Linked DNA regions of Xenopus tropicalis. The protein of the gene in region 3 purifies or fractionates together with the protein of the main gene of each other region. This does not show direct contact. Links are inferred from orthologs where the notes say so. Each region holds a gene or a part of one and is shown on either strand. Other genes may lie near its edges.

What was found.
Region 1: the proteins of nup98 (region 3) and nup43 purify together in Homo sapiens (affinity purification with mass spectrometry; 4 studies listed by BioGRID and IntAct, counting the BioPlex papers as one, with this or other methods). This does not show direct contact. The link is inferred for Xenopus tropicalis from reciprocal best matches to the Homo sapiens genes NUP98 and NUP43.
Region 2: the proteins of nup98 (region 3) and nup133 purify together in Homo sapiens (affinity purification with mass spectrometry; 6 studies listed by BioGRID and IntAct, with this or other methods). This does not show direct contact. The link is inferred for Xenopus tropicalis from reciprocal best matches to the Homo sapiens genes NUP98 and NUP133.
Region 4: the proteins of nup98 (region 3) and seh1l fractionate together in Homo sapiens (co-fractionation; 3 studies listed by BioGRID and IntAct, with this or other methods). This does not show direct contact. The link is inferred for Xenopus tropicalis from reciprocal best matches to the Homo sapiens genes NUP98 and SEH1L.

What each region holds. Positions count from the first base shown.
Region 1 is NC_030681.2:58,278,285-58,283,224, reverse strand, and holds part of nup43 (nucleoporin Nup43), read left to right. Parts: intron 1-1,972; coding exon 1,973-2,108; intron 2,109-4,940. UniProt on the Homo sapiens protein: Component of the Nup107-160 subcomplex of the nuclear pore complex (NPC). The Nup107-160 subcomplex is required for the assembly of a functional NPC.
Region 2 is NC_030679.2:125,105,764-125,110,010, reverse strand, and holds the start of nup133 (nuclear pore complex protein Nup133), read right to left. Parts: upstream 2,801-4,247; 5' UTR 2,663-2,800; coding exon 1-2,662. UniProt on the Homo sapiens protein: Involved in poly(A)+ RNA transport. Involved in nephrogenesis.
Region 3 is NC_030678.2:177,462,787-177,468,512, forward strand, and holds the start of nup98 (nuclear pore complex protein Nup98-Nup96), read right to left. Parts: upstream 3,494-5,726; 5' UTR 3,255-3,493; intron 2,589-3,254; 5' UTR 2,548-2,588; intron 1-2,547. UniProt on the Homo sapiens protein: Plays a role in the nuclear pore complex (NPC) assembly and/or maintenance. NUP98 and NUP96 are involved in the bidirectional transport across the NPC. May anchor NUP153 and TPR to the NPC.
Region 4 is NC_030682.2:103,475,866-103,481,453, forward strand, and holds the start of seh1l (nucleoporin SEH1), read right to left. Parts: upstream 3,432-5,588; 5' UTR 3,369-3,431; coding exon 3,258-3,368; intron 1,146-3,257; coding exon 1,095-1,145; intron 1-1,094. UniProt on the Homo sapiens protein: Component of the Nup107-160 subcomplex of the nuclear pore complex (NPC). The Nup107-160 subcomplex is required for the assembly of a functional NPC.

The DNA.
Region 1 (4,940 bases), on a different chromosome or scaffold from region 3:
TGCTTTGGGTCTGCTTTCTATGCAGGCCAATAAATTCCATCCAGGAAGTATGCTCTTGGAAAGGGCTCTGGACAATCTGGGTGGCTTAGTGGCAGATGAAATTATGCTTTTGGAATTTAAAAATATACAATATACATAAATATTCAAATAATGAGAAATAGGCTGTAGGTGCAGAAACTGCTGCAGGTGCACTTTTATTGGCACAAGTGTGTTGTAGATAATAACTTGGTTGTAGCAAGCAATGCCAGTCAGCAGGTTGGAAGGGCCAACCATAGATATCAAACGGTAACAGCCCAACCTCCACTTGAATAATGTCATAGAATAAGGAACGATACAGATTGAACCATGGTCATACATTTGCAGATAACCTTAAGAATTTTTTAATAAACATTATGGTTACAACAGCAGCACATATTTAGTGGCTCTACTAAATATACTTGTGGGTGATGCTGTAGCCAAACCCCAGACTATTTATAACTTCTTAATTCAGATCCTGGTATATACAGTAGCAGTATCTCCATTGTACATATTTCTTTCATTTTATTTAATTTAATTGTTATTGATAGCTTGGCTGAGTGTACGAACCCCTGTTGCCATAATATGGGTAAGCTCTTGAAGGAGATCTAGTATGGTTGGGGCAAGTAGCCTGATTTAAATGCATGTTTTCAACATTTGGAGCAAGCCTCATCATTTCCTTTTAGCCAAAGAGTGGTCACATATGCTTTAAGCAATATATAAAGGTGGATCATTCTGCAGTCTTTAGTGTTTGTTCCTACTTTTGATCAAAAATTTAAAACTGACTAGACTCCTGTTTATCACAGACATGGGATCCCTTAGCCAGAAACCCCTGGAAAAATCTGAGTTATGCAATGTTTATCTTCCATGAATTCCATTTTGAAATTATTTGAAGTCAATTTTTTATAAATAATAAAACAGTAGAATCTACTTGATCCTAACTATGTTACATACCTATTGTTGCCAAAACAGTACTATTGTGGGTTTTTGTAATGTTTACTTGTTTTTTTAGTAGACCTAAGATAAGGCATCTTTGCAATTTGCATCACCATATCTGGAAATCCCAGGACCCAACCATTCTGGATAATAGATGTCTACCTGTACATACATATATGCACCTAATGGCTGTTCACTAAATGAATTGTTAAATGATTGTTAATACGCATAATAATAATAATTTCAGTAACCCCTAATTTTCTCCCTTGCTAAAAAAAAAACAAAAAACACCTAACCCCATCTGCATGTAGAAGTGCTTCAGTGAGAAAATTCCAAAAGGTTGCATCTAGTGCATATTAAAATGGGACCTCCTTTCTTATATTCTCAGTGGAAGCCCTTGTGTCTGCTGTAAACTGCACTTCATACCCAAGATGTGGCCTTAACAGTGCTATGTAAAGGGGAATAACACTATCTCTTTGCAACTGTATACTGTTTTAACAGCAGAATCCCCTGACTGACAGTCCCATTAAGGGTGTTAGTCGATTGCATTATTTTTTGATTCCTGATGTGTAACCATATATGTATCTACACTGTATCTCACCTGCCACTTAGCTGCCCAGATAGATAGTTCGTCCAGATCCTACTAAAAGGATGCAACACTTTGGAAGGAATTGGTCTGAATAGTTTTGAGTTATCTGCCATTACCAGAACATGTCAAGTTTATTGACATGTTACATGACAGGTTTATTCATTAATTTAGAGTTTTTGTTGCTAACACTGTTTTAATAAACCTTAAACAAATGTTGAGAGCAATAAACAAATCTGTAATTCACACTAGAAGCAAGTTTGTTTGTGATGGATAGAAGCAAACAAATTTCAGTTTGTCTGAATTTCAGTTCAGACAAAAATAGTTGGACAAATTAAACCTAGATTAGTTCTGCCAATATTACAAGGGAATTGGTTTTAGTTTTTTTAAGAAAGGTGTTTGTTTTAGTTACTTTATTTTTTTCTTTTCCTCCAGATGATGCAGACAGCAGTACTATGCATGGAGTAACATTTCTTCGTACAACAGAGATACTGACTGTGAATTCAGTAGGCCAACTAAAGTTGTGGGATTTGAGAAAGCAAGGCAATGATCCTACCCAGATCTTCTCTGTGTGAGTTAAACTGCAACCTATACCGAGCTCCTATTCACTTTTTGTACATTTCTGAAACTGTCAGACACACTCGGATCCCTGACTGACAGTTTAAGTAACATAGTAAGTTAGGTTGAAAAAAGACATACGTCCATCACGTTCAACCATAATGCCTATATATAACCTGCCTAACTTCTAGTTGATCCAGAGGAAGGCAAAACACCCCATCTGAAGCCTCTCAAATTTGCCGCAGAGGGGAAAAAAATTCCTTCCTGGCTCCAAGATGGACCAGTCCCTGGATCAACTTGTACTAAGAGCTATCTCCCATAACCCTGTATTCCCTCACTTGCTAAGAAGCCATCCAGCCCCTTCTTAAAGCTATGTAATGTATCAGCCAGCACAGATGATTCGGGGAGGGAATTTCACAACTTCACAGCTCTCACTGTAAAAAATCCTTTCCGAATATTTAAACGGAACCTCCCTTATTCTAAACGCAGTGGGTGCCCTCGTGTCCATTGGAAGGACCTACTGGTAAATAAGGCATTAGAAAGGTTATTATATGATCCCCTTATATATTTATACATAGTTATCATGTCACCTCTTAAGCGCCTCTTCTCCAGTGTAAACAGACCCAACTTGGCCAGTCTTTCTTCATAACTGAGACTTTCTATACCCTTTACCAGCTTAGTTGCCCTTCTCTGGACCCTCTCTAATTCAATAATGTCCCGTTTGAGCACTGGAGACCAAAACTGAACAGCATATTCTAGATTGGTCCTTACCAGGGCTCTGTAAAGGGGAAGAATAACACCCTCCTCCCGTGAATCTATACCCCTTTTAATACAGCTAAACCATTTATCTCTAGACACTGCATTTCTTTAGGTGGTGGTTTTTATTATATTTCTTAATAAGAGCACATGGGAGAAAAGAGTGTGCAAGAGCTACTGTCACAAAAAGGTAAAATATCATAACTGTGAATGCATTCTCTTTGAATAGCTTGATGCAGCATTTACTCATAAATACCCAAACTATGTAGCATGTAGGAATAGTGAATGGTTGATGCTTCAGACCTGGTAAACAAAACATACTATGCTTGTTTTATATATCCAGGCACCCATAACAGAAAAGTAATCCTTGAATATCTTTTAGGTTCAAATATCAAAAGGGTATCCACTTTATTTTATCTTTTGTTTACCCTGGGGGTTGAAAGTTTACATACACTTGCTAGTATTTAGTGGCATTGCCGTTTAATTGCTTAACTTGAATCAAAGGTTTGGGTTAGCCGTCAAGCTTCTAAAGTATTTGGCCATTCATCCTTGAAGAACTGTTCTAGTCAGGTTGGTCAGCCAATTTGCTGGGATATTTTTTTCAGTCCAGTCCACACAATTTTAATAGGATGCAGGTCTGGGCATTAATCGCTACTCCAGTACTTTCATATTGTTTTCTTTTTACAACTTTTTGAGGTGCATTCTGTATAAGTCACACTGGAGAACACAGCTGTGACCTGGTGTCCTAATGCTTTGGTTATCAGTAGATCCTCCGGTGGACACAAAGGCATCCATTCAGATTAGGTGAAAGGATATTCCAAAAAGGGGTTTTCAGAGTGATGGATGTGAAAGTGTGGAGCTCTTTAAATAGACTTTTAATATATAGTTGATGTAGATTGAAAGGGTTTTATAAAACCTATTAGGACATATTTATTCATTTTGGATTTGTCAGAATGTGTTTTTTCTGGGGTAAACCTACTGTTAGTGAGATTTTTGACCTTGAATTCCAAGGTATCAAATTTTTGGAGCAGTGCATTGGTGGTAGTTGCTGATGGAAGCAAAAACTACATAATAGTTTTCCTAGGTAAAATATATGTAGCCCCCACCCCCGGGACTTACTCTTAAAGTGAAAGTACAGAATGTTCAAAAACAAACAGGGGAATTATATTAATTTTACAAACAAGTGTTATGGAGTGAAAAAAAAAAAATAGTAATAGCGCATAGGACAGTTTTTTCAACAGTGTATTTTTCTGGCAGAGAAATGCCTTAAACCACCTATACCATAGCAAGTACAGGCCGTTCTTCTCCCAAGAACACACGTTAGAGCATTTTAATTACCACTTGTACTAGCAGTATTAATCATCGGGGAGTTTTGTGATAATGTTGAATGAAAAGCACCTTGAGTAATGAACATGAAGCAGTAAAAATTTAAACCTCCACCTGTCCCCTTTCTATGTGCATTAGTCACAGCGCATTTTATACTTTCAAGAGCCATGACCGTTTGAAAAAATTATTAAGGTACAGGATTCTGCTCGGATTCCATCCAACCAGTATTATCTAATGTGTTTTTTTTTTTGTTTTTTTTTAAATAATGTGTTTCTTCATGACAAGAGTCCCTTTAACTGAAGTGTGAAATTCTGGAAGAAGGCAATTTCCTTTTATTAAGCAGCCTCATTTCATTTTGCATGCAGTGATGCCTATTTTACTTCATGTAAAGGTATTTTTGAACACTTTTTGTCCAGGAAAAAGGCGATCTCCTGCAGGTGACAAAGTGTTGTGTGTGTTTGCCCTCAAGGACCACTAAAAAGGAAAATATATTTATTCACAATTAAAGTTTGTGTCTGCTGATGGAGCACATACAAATACAGCAGGGAAAATAAATATTGAACACGTTGACACTTTTCTCAGTAAATATATTTCTAATGGGGCTGTTGACATGAAATTTACACCAGATGTCGGTAACAACCCAAGTAATCCACACTTACAAAGAAATCAAAACAAATAAATCTTTAAATTAATTAATAAAGTGGAATGACACAGGGAATAAGTATTGAACACACTTACTGAAATGTATTTAATACTTAGAAAA
Region 2 (4,247 bases), on a different chromosome or scaffold from region 3:
ACAGAAAATCTGAAAAATTCTGATCTGAAAATAGAGTCATGTACCTTTGCAGCCTGCTCTGATTATCAGTCATTTCACATATCTGCACCAAGATATCAAAGTCACAGTACTTCTCAGCAAGATTTGAAGCCCAGGCATACTGTCCTAGGCTTAACAAAGGAGCTAAAAGTTCTGACCGCTTCTGAGCATACTCCATTTCCAGGACACTGTATCTTTCTTGATTAGTCCGTTTATCAACTGATTTTAGTTGGATGACATAATCATCAAGCAAGTAGTTTAGCAAGGCTGCAAGCTGCTCAATTAGTATAGTACGAAGGCTGCTATCCGCTTGTGGGTAGATCTTCAATATTACACCATGCTGACGTGTAACAACAGACCTAATACCTGCAATTCCACTAGAAGCAGTCCAGGGAACATACTCGGGCTCTTGCATTCCACTTTCATTTTTATAGAGAGAATTTTTACTTTGTCTGTACTGACAGGCAGCATGTAGCATGTCTTTCAGAATAGTATTGATATTGACAACTATATTTGCCCATTCAACTGAGTCCATGGAAGTACTTTCCAAGTCAGCTTCCTCTTTGTCTACCAGGCATTCAAAGATAATATCCATTTGGGATACCTCTCTAAAGTAGACATCGGCGGCAGTGAGATTCTGGGGTATGGAGCACATCCTTTTATCAAGTGCAAGTTGTATGGCAGAGTTAACCAAGGCAGGGAGCTTAGCATGGTGGTTCTTTAAAACAATTGCAGCAGACAGTTTCTCTGCATGCTCACACAGCAACAGTCGAGTTGCTACGAACATTCCTTTTGCTTGACAAGTGCTCAAACGACTGAAAAGTCCAACTTGATGAAGGAAATCCACAAAAAAGGAGTGAGCTTTCATCTTATCTTCCAGCTGATGCAAGAGAATTAGAGAAGTGTTGCTAAATCCAGCTGCCTCTTCAGGGACAGATTCAGCCCAACGAGGATCAGAGGCAGGATAATCATCAATCAAATCGACGCTTATTTGGTTTACTGCTTGATCCAGTTCATCATCTGGTCCCATGTCTGAATCTGAGAACAGGCTATCCACCATGCTCTGTGCCCCCAGTATGTCTTTCCTGCAACATCTCAAAAAAGCGGCCTTCAGAAGTTTGGTCTTATCATCATGAGCAATCTGGTCAGGTCTTGAAGTTGAGTCCTTTACTGCAGCCTGAGAGCTGGATTTAGACACGGACAACAGTGACTCTTCCATGTGCTCTGGGAGCACAGAAGCAGTCTCTCTAGCAACAACGGTCAGCATACCACTCTTTCTAATGAAAAAAACTGGCCAACCTTCACAGGATCCAGCTCCTATAATATTATCTCCTTGTGCTTCAAATGGAATCTTTTCTTGAGGCAAAGTGCTCCTTCCAGTTCCTGTTGAACATGCAAAGACCATATCTTGGGTATACAAGTAACAGGCCTGGCTGCTAAAATTTGGTATCACAAGCTGGCACAGCTGCATATCTCTAGACTGAAACACAGGGTTGAACTGAGTGACTTCCACTGTAATTTCATCAGAAATATTATAACCTTCGTCTTTCACGGTTACAAGTGTGTAATATATCTGGCAGGGGTTATCACCAGGATGCCAGGCAGCAGCCAGGATGACTAAACCATCACAGTTCTGGTTAAGACTTAAATAATCAATGTTAATTCCATTTTTTATATCATCATAGTTGCTCTCAGACCCCCAAATGGCATCAGATATGTTTTCTCTTAGGACTCTGGTCATGTCCCAGGTAAGCACGTGACTTTCCGAAGCATCATCCAAGTCCCATTTGTTTATACTTGAGTCTGTGAGAGTATAGAAGCAATCTCCCTTATCCCAGAGAACACTGCAGAGCGTGGATTCAACAGCAGGAGACAAGATGCCAAAGAGCGTGGACACCCTGCGGCCAATACCGGACAGCATGCCCTGACCTTGCGGCAGAATACGTTGATTAATCTTTCCGGACGCGTCGGGTGTCAGTCGTACAAGGTGATTTTTTTCTGAAGACAGGATGAAACTGTTGCCTTTTACAGCTGTAACAAATGCACAAAGAGAGGAGCCAAAGTCAGCGTAAGACTCTATATAGTTGCTCTCATGGAGAATGTTAGGCCAGTAGCGGGCTGACCCTTCAGGAGTGGCCGCCATTAATGCCACTGCCTGTCCAGCAGCAGAGTCACCCGTGTGGGCACAAATATCCGCTAAATCAGCAGACCATTCGCTGTCACTCAGTGGAAGAGGCAGTTCTTTGCACACCATTAACTTAGCAGAGGTGGAGTGACTTATCTTCCAAATGATCAGGCGATCCTTGCACGCCAGCCATGCCCATCCGCCTTCATGGATGCGAGCAGCCAAGGGCTCGTCTACACCGGAGTTAGACAGGGCCTCCATTACTTTAACTGGCAAGGAGGAACCAAACAGCTGTACATTGTAATTCACCGTCTCAGAGGCGGCCGGGTGGAGATAAACGCGGGACGGGGTGGATCTGGCGCCACTGCTGGAAACTCTACGACCCACAGGCGAGTACAGCGCCGACGGGGAAGAACTGGCGCTCACTCCCGGACCCAAGCCTTTCCTGCCGCCAGTCAGTCGGGCATTAAACGGCCGCCGCGCTGAGCCCACACCCTGAGCACGGGGTGACGGAAACATGCTGGATCCGGTAGCCGCTGTGTCGGGATAGTTTGAAAAGCGCTCGCTACCCGCGTTGTCTCAGGAAGTGCAGGAAATGGCGCGCTGCTAGTGACGTCATAAGCAACGGCCCGGCCTGTTAGGCTGCAACTGGCCAACTGGTTGGAACCAGGGGTTATCGTTCAGTCAGTCAGGTTGCGTCAAATCCACTTGCTCTTTAAACAAGTTATATTTTTCTTGACCTACAAGGAAGAAAATGGGATTCATGCAAATAGTTTGCTAAGCAATGGAAGAATAATAACCGAACCAAATAATACAGGAAACAAAAGCCCTAAAAATTGTACAGTGGATGATAATAGACGGGGTGATCCTATAACTTTCCCATGTATGTATGTATGTATGTATATCTTTATTTATAAAGCGCTACTTATGTACGCAGCGCTGTGCAGTAGAATTCATTAATACAGACGGGGTTAAAGATAATGGATAAATACAAAGTATAACAATAAATACAAGGTACAGTTGCAATAAGAGTCAGAAACACAAGATGAAGGAGGTCCCTGCCCCGTAGAGCTTACAATCTATAAAATGATAAAAGGAAGTCGTTTTTTCCCCTCAGTCTAAGAATTAGTGTCTGCCATTGTTTCTTAGTGCAGCAACCAGTAATAACCATTGACTGGCACATTTACTTTTGGCTTGGTCGTCCTACAGTAACAATAAAAATTGTACTTGCTGTCTCAGTGTTATCCAATTACTTTGTGCAGTGAGCAGTTTGTGTGATATTTTTTTCCTGTAAGTGGCTGAAAATGTAAATTAAATAGTGTATTTTGCATCCTTAATTCCTGGTAGCCCAGGTGCAGAGTTGCAGTTGTTATTACAGGTATGGGGCCCATTATCCAGAATGGTAGGGACCTGGGGTTTTCCGTAATTCAGATTTCCTACCTTAAGTCTACTAAAATATTATTTAAACAGTAATTAAACCCAATAGGATTGTTTTGCTTCCAATAAGGATTAATCATATATTAGTTGGGAACAAGTACAAGGTACTGTTTTATTATTACAGAGAAAAAGGGAATAATTTTTAAGAATGGTAATTATTTGATTATAATGGAGTCTATGGGAGATGGCCTTTCCGTAATTCGGAACTTTCTGGATAATGGGTTTCCGGATAAGGGGTCCGATACCTGTAAGTGAAAACCACGAGCTCTGCTGATAATAGTGCGATATTTAATTCCATGCCCACACAGACAATCTCTGGAAGGCCATTGTGTGTCACATATAAAGCAAAAGATGAAAAGAACACAATTTTTTTGGCACACCTGTAGAATCTTAAAATATAACTTTTAATTTATGTTCACAGCTAAAATAATTTTTTAAAATTGGTAAAGCGAAAAGGAAGAATGAAAAGATTAAAATATATAGTAACACACCCTAGATCAGCGTTTTTCAACCACTGTTCCGTGGCACACTAGTGTGCCGCGAGATGTTGCCTGGTGTGCCGTAGGCAGGGCCGCAATTTTTACTTTCAAAGGGGGCCCGGCGATGCTACAGTTTTTCTTAGTAGCTCGGGCCCCCTTTAATAAAATCCGGGCCCTGTCATTGGTTG
Region 3 (5,726 bases):
GTATTTAGGAGCACAAACCATGGCACTTTCCTTGCAAGCCCTGCTCCCTGAATGGATAAAACATCAAGGCTAGTAACAGTAATGTCTCAATGGCCCAGTGGAAATTCAAGTATGTAATGCTGCACACCTACAGAATCAATACAATAAGGTGGGTGCTCACTGCAGGGGTCCCCTAGAAGATCCCCAAAGAAATCCAAAACATGAGAGGAGCAGAGCAAATCCAAATGATAAAAAGTTACAGCTTTATTTTACATATCAAAAAACTCAATGGCCCAGTGGCACCTTAAAAAGAGGTTCACCTTTGTGTTAACTACCTATTCTAAGCAACTTTTCAATTGGTCTTCATTATTTTTGTTTTATAGTTTTTGAAATAGTTGCCTTCTACTGCCTTTTTCCAGCTTTCAAATTAGGGTCACTGACCCCGGCAGCCAAAACACTACTGCTCTGTGAGGCTCCAGTTTTATGGTTATTGTTACTTTTTGTAACTTGTTTTCCCTATTCAGGTCCTCCAATTGCAAATTGTCCCAGAATACTACTCTCTACATCATACTTAAAGTTACCTCCAAGGTGAACAGCCCCCTTAATGCCTCGCACAGCCTTTGCAGTGCCTGCAACAATCCTGCAAAAATCACAGCTGTCAATCATCTATTGTCTGCCCCGCCTCTAATGCATAGAGGCGGGGCATCCAATTACTTAAACTTTCCCCCTCCCTCTTCACCATGAATCGGTGTAGCCAGTGCATGGGCATCAGGCCCCCCATTCTGGCACATACACAAGATTTTGGGGTGATACTGTAATTCCATGACTGAAGGAAGCAAGAGATTTACACAAATGCTACTCAACATATAGAATAAAAGGAACTACCAGGTGCAGAAACCCTTAGCAACCAAAATCTTGTTTGCCCAGTAAATGCTGCCTGCTGATTGGCTGCTCTAGGGGGATTACCAGCATGAAACTTTGAACCTTTTATGACATTTCCCCATATGTTCCCTATAAACACAAAGCAGCAGAATACAACCGCTGAGAATGTATACGGGGTGTATATATCTATATATTCACACAAACACAATACTGTCCGTTAATGAACGTATGAATTATATACATAATCTTTATACCATTGCTCCCAAGTACCCAGAGCGCATACAAACCTGCCAGTCTTATACCCATTCCTGGGACTATAACCCCAAACTGTCCAATATACATTCATTCCACATTATCCCCAGTTAAATATAAATGTGTTTGCCACTGAATGGAGTATGTGTCTGGCCATTTATATTCACTGCACTACTGGTTCTGAAGCATGAAACAATGAAGCAAAAGCTGATTATCTGAAATACCACAAGCTAACAATTAGCTACAATATATATTACTTGTGGACTACTTAGAGAAACGCTACCGATGTGAAACAGTTAAAACCTGCCAAGCCAAAATATAAATAAAGCCAAACGTAACTCATTCCCCAAACACTTCACCCCCAAATCCCCCCCTAACTGGCCTTCAGGCTGGGCCCCCTTAGCCCATAACAAGGTTACAGATATATAGAAACATTGGGGTAACAGTCACCCTGCTATAGTTCCAGGGGTACCCAGGGCACAAATAAGCACTCACCCCAAATCCCCCCCTAACTGGCCTTCAGGCTGGGCCCCCTTAGCCCATAACAAGGTTACAGATATATAGAAACATTGGGGTAACAGTCACCCCGCTATAGTTCCAGGGGTACCCAGGGCACAAATAAGCACTCACCCCAAATCCCCCCCTAACTGGCCTTCAGGCTGGGCCCCCTTAGCCCATAACAAGGTTACAGATATATAGAAACATTGGGGTAACAGGCACCCCGCTATAGTTCCAGGGGTACCCAGGGCACAAATAAGCACTCACCCCAAATCCCCCCCTAACTGGCCTTCAGGCTGGGCCCCCTTAGCCCATAACAAGGTTACAGATATATAGAAACATTGGGGTAACAGTCACCCCGCTATAGTTCCAGGGGTACCCAGGGCACAAATAAGCACTCACCCCAAATCCCCCCCTAACTGGCCTTCAGGCTGGGCCCCCTTAGCCCATAACAAGGTTACAGATATATAGAAACATTGGGGTAACAGTCACCCCGCTATAGTTCCAGGGGTACCCAGGGCACAAATAAGCACTCACCCCAAATCCCCCCCTAACTGGCCTTCAGGCTGGGCCCCCTTAGCCCATAACAAGGTTACAGATATATAGAAACATTGGGGTAACAGTCACCCCGCTATAGTTCCAGGGGTACCCAGGGCACAAATAAGCACTCACCCCAAATCCCCCCCTAACTGGCCTTCAGGCTGGGCCCCCTTAGCCCATAACAAGGTTACAGATATATAGAAACATTGGGGTAACAGTCACCCCGCTATAGTTCCAGGGGTACCCAGGGCACAAATAAGCACTCACCCCAAATCCCCCCCTAACTGGCCTTCAGGCTGGGCCCCCTTAGCCCATAACAAGGTTACAGATATATAGAAACATTGGGGTAACAGGCACCCCGCTATAGTCCCAGTTCTTACAAAAGAAATACATTACCTGAGAGAGGAGATGGAATGCTCTTGAACAGATTCAGGGCCCTGGAAAAAACACAAAAACAAAAGTGACTAATAAGGTTGAGTTATGAAAACATTTACAGTAAAACAAAGTGGTGGAAGTACTCTGAGTATTATATGAGATTCCCTGTATGGGGAAAGCCTCCTTATCTGTAAGCACAAGACACAGGAAACAGAGAGAGGGGCCTGACTGGGGCAGTACATTAGGACACGCCCATGTGGGGCAATAGAAACAAACACATTAGGGGACAGAGACGTAGGCAGCGGTGCGACAGACGCAGCAGAGAAACCTATGGAGGCTGCAATGGCACAGAGAGGGGAGACCCCAAACTGTCACTATCAGAGGGGAGGGGTTTCATTGGGGACACTGCATTGGGGATCCCAGGCCCGTCAGTAACCAAGAGAACCCAGCAGCACCGGAACCAGGCGGAACATAGTCCTGTCACTAACCAGAAACCGGTAGCAACCGGCAGCAAGCGGAAATGTGGAACTCAGTCCTGCCCTGGATATGGGAAGCAGTGACTGGGTATCAGGTTTAATCGCCCCCCACACATGGAAGTGGAACATTCCGGAGAAGGTTAGGCAATAAGGCGGACTGTTCCACCGCACTACAGCGGGAGGGGGCGGCTCACACCTCCCACTAATCCCCATGCGCTCCACACCTCAGCCCGACGCTCTCTCCCCGCCTACCTGCCCGCGGCCTCCAGACACCAGCGCCCCCAACCAAAAGCTCAGCTCGTACGCGCCCAACACAGCAGTAGATGAAAACGCTTTCCCCAGACTCTCCGGTACCGGCAGTCACGCTCCCGTCACGCAAGGGAGCTAAAGTGCGTCATCCAGCGATATGGCGCTGGCGTCAGGGGTAGAACGTCAGATCTGAGCCCCGCCCCCGTCAAACGCTCGATGGGATTGGCCGCTTCCTATGCCAGTCAAACAAAGGTCGGGACTACTTTACGCGCCCTTCATAACGATTGGCTGAGCGGCGGGACCCTATGGCGTGCGCGGCTCTGCTCACGTGATGGTTAGTCAGTACGTGACTCATTCCTGCGCTCTCAATTAAAACTCGCAGACTGAGTCGGGATGTTTATTGGTTTTAGGAGAGATGCAATTCTATTCACGTCTCAGGACAAAATGACACGCATAGTAAAGCTTTAGATTCGCGGTCCCGCAAGTTATGTGGAGAGCGGCGCGCAAGGAATAGAAGAACTGGATTGGCTATGCTGTTAGCCAATGGGTATGAAAGGGGCGGGGACGAGCGTCCCGCTACTCTTTTAAAAATCGCTCCTTGGAAATGTAATGGTGCGCGCTCCCGCTAGATATGGCGTGCAAGCGCATGGTGTCATGGTCCGGTGGGCGGGACTAGTAACTTTTTTCCCTCCTGGGCGGGACTAGTGGCTTCCAAGCAGTGGGGCGGGCCCTGTAGTGACTTGGATTGGGGCCCAGCCTGAGGGGCAGTTATAGTTAGTTTGGGGAGGGTACATATGGGCTACAGGGGTATTACAGGCTCTTCCCCCCAAAACTATGCCCCCCCTCCATGATGCTGATTCCCCTGGGTATTGTCTGAGGTGATTGCTTCTAGGCCCATTGACTGACTCCCCTTAATCTTCCTGTCCAATTACAGCTCAGCTAGGGCAGGAGGTGTGGCCTACATAGTAACATAGTAAGTTGGGTTGAAAAAAGACATCCATCCATCACGTTCAACCATAGTGCCTATATTCTTGGCATTAAGACTAATAAGTCAAATGGGGGGGGTTAAACTATGGGAAACCATTATGAGCCCAAAATGTGGGATATTTGTACTTGCAGCCAATGAGGGAGCCTGTTAGTCAGACAGCTGGATCACTGGGGGCCCCTGTGTATATGGAAAGCCTGGGTCACAAAACAAAAGAGCAGTTACCTGCCAACATTTTGAAAACGGAAAGAGGGACACACACCCCCAGGTGATTTAAAGTTTGATCACATTTCTGGGGGTTTGGGGGGGTCCTGTTTTATGTGTTATTCCAGTTTTGCTGAAAAAGGTGAAGTTGGCCTTTAGGCTGTGAGTCTCCATTCCCCCAAGAAACCTGTTTAGCTTATTAGTTACACTTGTATCTCAGTGCAGGGGGGGGGGCTTTTTACCTTTCTGGGCTCTCTGCCAAAAGCTACTTATTTAATTAAACATGAGAAACACTGTATCTAAGTGCAGGTGATGCTTGTTACGAATTCTGGGCTCTCTGCCAAAAGGTACTTTTGTTAATTAAGTTTGAGAAACATTGTATCTTTTTAGCTTCAGTGCAGGAGATCAAAGGGAAATGAGGGACTTTTCACAGTTGGGAGGTATGGAGTTATCTATCCAGCTTCCCAGTCACCCCCTGCCCCTGTGTAGCAAAGCCCTGTTAGTCTTCCTCAATACAGTGAGGGGGTGCCGGCAAGCTGCTGGTGGCCCCTGTGGAGACAATCACCATGGGTTGCTGCATTATGTATTAAAAATAAAGTGCCTGGGGAAATAGTAATTGGTTATGAACTGGCACCCCTAGTGGCTCAGGCTTTCTTTGCCCTTTAAAAGGGTTAACAGTTAACTTTTAATATGATGCGGAGAGAAATATTCTGAGACAATTTGCAGTTGGTCTTCATTTATTACTATTTGTAGTTTTTTAATTATTGTTCAGCAGCTCTCCAGTTTGGAGTTTAAGCAGTTATCTGGTTGCTAGGGTCTAATTACCTTAGTAACCAGGGTGTGGTTGGAATGAGAGACATGAATATGAATAAAAGAGGCCTGAACAGGAAAATAAATAAATGATAAAACATAAGTATAACAATAAAACTGGAGCCTCACAGAGCAATAGGGTTTGGCTGCCGGGGTCAGTGACCCCCATTTGAAAGCTGCAAAGAGGCAGAAGAAGGGAAATAATTCAAAAATTATAAAAAATAAATAATGAAGACCAATAGAAACGTTGCCTTGAATATGCCATTGTATAATATACTAAAAGTTATCTTAAAGGTGAACCGTCTCTTTAAATTAACCTTTAGTATAATGTAGAGTGCTATTTTGAGACAATTTGCAATTGGTCTTTGTTTGTTACTTGCAGTTTTTGAATTATTTACCTTTTGTTCAGCAACTCTCGTTTGGAATTTAAAGAGGGATCTGGTTGCTAGGGGCTAATTTTAACCTAGCAACCAAGC
Region 4 (5,588 bases), on a different chromosome or scaffold from region 3:
TACTGCTTTGTTGTTTTTTTTTTTTTTTTTTTTTAACTGTCAGGCAAGTTTGGGAAGGCTAAGAAAGCTGCCATACTAAGTACTTGCCAACCTGCTGTGTGCGCTCCCCTGTGTGCTCTCCCATCCTGCTGTGTGCGTTCCCATCCTGCTGTGAGGCCCAAACCTTGGTTGAACAGCCCGTAATGCTGCCTTCAAGCTACTAAATAGCTGTTTGCTCCTCCAGAGAGCTTTCTATTGTCTAAGTGGCCCATAATGGGGACTTAGACTATTTTCACATGGAACATTTTGATTGTCTATATTTGTAGCGCGGTAAAAAAAATACCTGATGTCCACCACAGTCTGCTTCCCATTGACTTCAGAGCTGTGCAACTTGTCACCCAGCGTGGCTGAATATCACCCTAATACTTAACAGCTCATCCAAACAAAACAGCTTGTTGGATTTCTGCCGTGTGCGCTCCCAACTTAAAAAGGCAAGCGCACGCACGTACGACCATTCACGGGGGGGGGGACACTTACATCTTCAAATCCATATACTCGAGTATAAGCCAAGGGTGACTTTTTCAGCACATTTTTGGTGCTGAAAAACTCGGCTAATACTCGAGTATATACAGTATTTGTTTATTGTTTTACTGGTCTTTTAGTGCAGAAATTAACTTAGATCTGTCTACTGCAGGTGGAAGAAACCTTCAGAATTGTAATTTTGGTCACAATGTTGCTGTTGTAGAAATGCTTGTTTTGGTCTTTTTAAGCAGTCTCTGTCTCTCACTGCTTCTGTCTACAACAGACATAACATTTGTTAGACTTGCTATTCCAAGCTGTTACAGATAATATGGGTATTTCTGACTGACACTGATTTCCTCAACAGCACCTCTGCATGTCATAGGACTAAAATCCAACCTCTAACAACCCCTAACATTTTGGCACCTCCCAGTGATTATATCTTGCCTTCTCCTTTAATGCGGCTCTATGTTTTACACTTACTTGATATAATGGCCTCCCCTTTAATATCATTTTCTGAAAATTCCACTGCATTTTATTTGCATATACCCAATAAATAGTATGCATATAACAGATATTTTAGGACAGTAACTTACCTTCCAGCTTGCAGTACAATGCCAATCGCCATTTTCACTTTTGTCCCAAACCTACAAACAAATATATATAGCCCCGATTGATTCACAGCATGCCACATGTTGGTGTGAGAGTAAAAAGCAAGGCATTTTGTTTAGCTTATATATATAAGTAATAGGTTTACAGACCTAAAGACTACATGTTATAGGTGAAGGGGTGATAAAGTTATCTGCTTAGATAACTCCAACATGTGCGGACATATAAAGCCACATTTATCAACGGTCACACTGTCACCGGCGTACTAAGTGCCAGGAAATATTGCTGTATTTATCATTCTTTCCTATTAGATTTTTTCTGAGTGAAATTTATTTTAAAGTTAACTTTAAGTATGATGTAGAATGGTATTTGGAGAAATTTTGCAATTGGTCTTCATTTTTTATTACTTGTCGTTTTTGAGTTATTTAGCTTTTTGTTCAGCAGCTCTCCAGTTTGGAATTTCACTAGCTATCTGGTTGCTAGTGTGCAATTTAACCTACCAACCAGACAACTATCTAAAAGAAAGGCAGGAATATTAACAGAGTATGACCTAAATAGAAATTTAAGTAATAAAAAAAATCAGTGCCCCCCCCATTTGAAAGCTGGAAAGAGTCAAGAGAGGAAAGCAACTAATTAAAAAATAAAACCAGCTTAAAAGTTACTAAGAATAGGCCATTCTATAACATACTAAAAGTGAATCTGAAGGTCAACCAGCACTGTTGCAGCACTTTACACAGTTTGAAAAACCTGACATGACTTTTCATCCTGGTTGACAAGAACAGCAGACAAGAAAGTTTTGACCAAAAGCATAAAATGTTTTTCAACTGATCATAACTGGAGAACATTTCCTGGATAAATCCAACAATTGTGTAAATGGGGATTTTTTATTTTTTTTTAAATCAAATCAAGAAAAGGTCAAGATATGTGTAGTATGCATAAAAAGCCAATGCTTTAACAGGAAGCTAGTTTTTCACAGTTGAATAAATATGTCCCTTACAGGGAAAGTGACATGTTCCAGTCAAAACAGGAATGTGTCACTATGCCTAAATAAATCCAAGCTGCTAATCTTTTCTAATAGAGGTGGCCTGCCCCCCCCCCCCCCTCCCTGAGTTATATTGTGCTGCTTAGAGCTATGTATTGATAGGCTGGAGCACTGTTTATATTTGTGTTAAGGCAATTAAAAACTGGCACCAGCATTATAAGTGGTCCTAGCAAGAGCTGCTTGGTGTTATCTTTATTTTGGTTTAAAGGAAAACCAATGCCCTTTAAAAACCCTAGGCCCCTCAAAAGGAGTCCCCCTCCCAAACCACACCACTGAGGTCCCCTAATATTGCCGCAATTACTGTACCTATATTATATCAATAGCAGTGCAACAGGGTTGGTGCAGTGTTTATGTTCTCTATACAACGATCACCAACCTGATGCATGTGCAACACAGATCCGGGTAGGTCTGCCAACTTTGCCCTCAGCAAAAACCAAACAAAAGGGTGGAATGATTGGGGGCAAAGCAGTGACATATAAGGCAGTGATCCCCAACCAGTGGCTCAGTAGCAACATGTTGCACCCCAACCCCTTGGATGTTGCACCCCAACCCATTATTTTTGAATTTCTGGTAAGGAAGCAACCTTTTGGTTGCATAAAAAAGCCAGTCCACATAGGGGCTATTAAGTAACCAATTATAGCTCTTATTGGCTCCCTCAGGAACTTTTTCCATGCTTGTGTTGCTCCCAAACACTTTTTCCATTTAAATGTGGCTCACAGGTATAAAAGGCTGGGTATCCCCGATATAAGTTAATAACATCATAAGGTCAAAACTGAACAGATGGCAACCCTAGATCCCACCAATCCCGTTGCACTATTCTGCCTTTAAAGAACAGGTATGACCAGGGTACTATAAGAGGTGAGCAGTGCTGCAGGGGGGGTAGCTAAAAATGGCAAAAGGAAGACAGGCTCATCCACTCGGATCTTGGAGCATGTTTACAGCTATGCCAGTTTTACCAAACGGAAAACATCCTCTGGAGAATATATCCGCACGAAGCTATAGAACAGGAGGATTAAATATAGCCACACGCTTCCTAATTTTGCGTTGTGCAGTTAAAAAAACAGCAGGAAGGCCTTAGGATGGGTGCCCACAAAATTCTCCCGCTTACTTTCACACTCTGGTCACTGGAACATGTCGCCATCCTCCTGCCATGGAAATCAAACGACACATCGTGGATGAGATCTTTGTGATCGGCAGCGATACTTCTTGCCACGAACATAGTGCACAAGTCGGAGTGTCAAGCAGTTTGGACAGGGCTGTTGGTTTAGCGGTTCGAACTAGACGTCAGAAAGCAGCATGGATTTTTTTTTTTTTCATGGCCCAGACATGAGCCTGACGTCACAGCATCAGAACCTCTACGCGCCTGCGCAAGACTTCGCGCTTTTACATTCATCCATCCGGTCGCATTCTAAATACGCAGCGTACGAACTGTGGAAAAGGGGGAGGGTATTTGTGTGTGATGGTAGGCCGCGCAATTTAGCTTTCTAGGAATTTTATTATCTTCTGAGCTAGTTTCGAGCTGCTCGCTGAACTGTTTACTATTCAGAGCCACGGCTTGTAAAACAGAAGCGCTGCTATGTGCGCCCCAAGGGCGAGATTAGTAGCCCTGCAGCCCAGTCACAAGCAATAACGCCAATGAAGCCATAGTGAAGGTGCCGGCCCCTGAGGAGATTTGTCGCCCACAATTGAGGCCAGTGACACACAGGGAGATTAGTCACTGTGCAAAAAAACTCTGTTGTCATGGGCTACTAATCTTCCCGCAATGCCATCCTACGGGCTAAAATGAAATTCGCTGGTGGGATGGCATACGCGGCATAGCCATTTCCTCTCAAGACAACTTTGGCAAATTGTGGTGCTGCGTATGCCATCCCACTGGCGATTTACATTCTAGGTGGTGGGATGGCATTGCGGGGAATTGCTGGCAGAAAGGTGCACGTGTTTCCAAAGTCGCAATAGTTTTGGAAACTGCACAACTTCAGAAAACGCCAGAAATTAGTCATTCGTTATAACCAGATTTAACTGCGAGTGACTAATCTCCCCATGGCCTATCACGTTTACAATGATTACAATGCTATTTTGCTGATGACACAAAGAAAATTAATCTCTAGCGGTGGCAAATAATCTCCCCGAGTTCTTTCCTACAGGTAAGAATGTAAATCGCAAGAAACCTTTGGATTACTTCACTTAACTGAAGAGAGATTACTTGCTACCTCTAGAGGCGATTAATTGCAGGGCAACTAATCTCGTATGTCATTGGCCTAAAGCTGGTCATATACCCACCAATATCGTACGAAATGAGGTTTCGATATTCGGTGCGTGTGCGGTGGGTCATATCGATCACATCATTGAACGGGCAGGACAAAAAACTTTGATGATGCCCAATCAAAATTTGCCTTTAGGGCTAAATCGTTAGATAAGGGTAGTATCCCTATTGTTTCTACCTCCATATCTGACGATTCAGCCCTGAATGTCAGTGGAGGGTGGGAGTGATCTTTCCAGCAACCAATGATCGTACGAAAGATAATAATTGTAAGGTATATGGCCACTTTAAGGTAGAAAAGTATCAGTGGCTGCAGGTGGGATTTCTAGATCCACTCATCCAGGCCCCTCTTAAAGGCATTAACAGAGTCTGCCATTACCACATCACTAGGAAGGGCATTCCCCAGCCTCACTGCCCTCACCGTGAAAAACCACCTACGCTGCTTCAAATGGAAGCTCTGTTCCTCTAATCTATAGGGGTGACCTCTGGTGCGCTGATTGTTTTTATGGGAAAAAAGAACATCCCCCAACTGCCTATAATCCCCTCTAATGTACTTGTACAGAGTAATCATGTCCCCTCGCAAGCGCCTCTTTTCCAGAGAAAACAACCCCAACCTCGACAGTCTAACCTCATAGTTTAAATCTTCCATCCCCTTAACCAGTTTAGTTGCATGTCTCTGCACTCTCTCCAGCTCATTAATATCCTTCTTAAGGACTGGAGCCCAAAACTGCACTGCATACTCAAGGTGAGGCCTTACCAGGGACCTATAAAGCGGCAAAAATATGTCCTCATCCCTTGAGTCAATGCCCTTTTTTATACAAGACAGCACTTTATTTGCTGTAGTAGCCACAGAATGATACTGCCTGGAATTAGACAACTTGTGATCTACAAAAACCCCTAGATCCTTCTCCATTAAGGATGCCCCCAACACACTACCATTCAGTAGATAGTTCGCGTTTATATTATTCCTACCAAAGTGCATAACTTTGCACTTGTCAACATTGAACCTCATTTTCCAGTTTGCTGCCCAGTTTTCCAATTTTGTCAAATCGCTCTGCAAAGCGGCAACATCCTGCATGGAATAGTTTTGCACAATTTAGTGTCATCAGCAAAAATAGAAACAGTACTCTCTATGCCCACCTCCAGGTCATTAATAAACAAGTTAAAAAGCAAAGGACC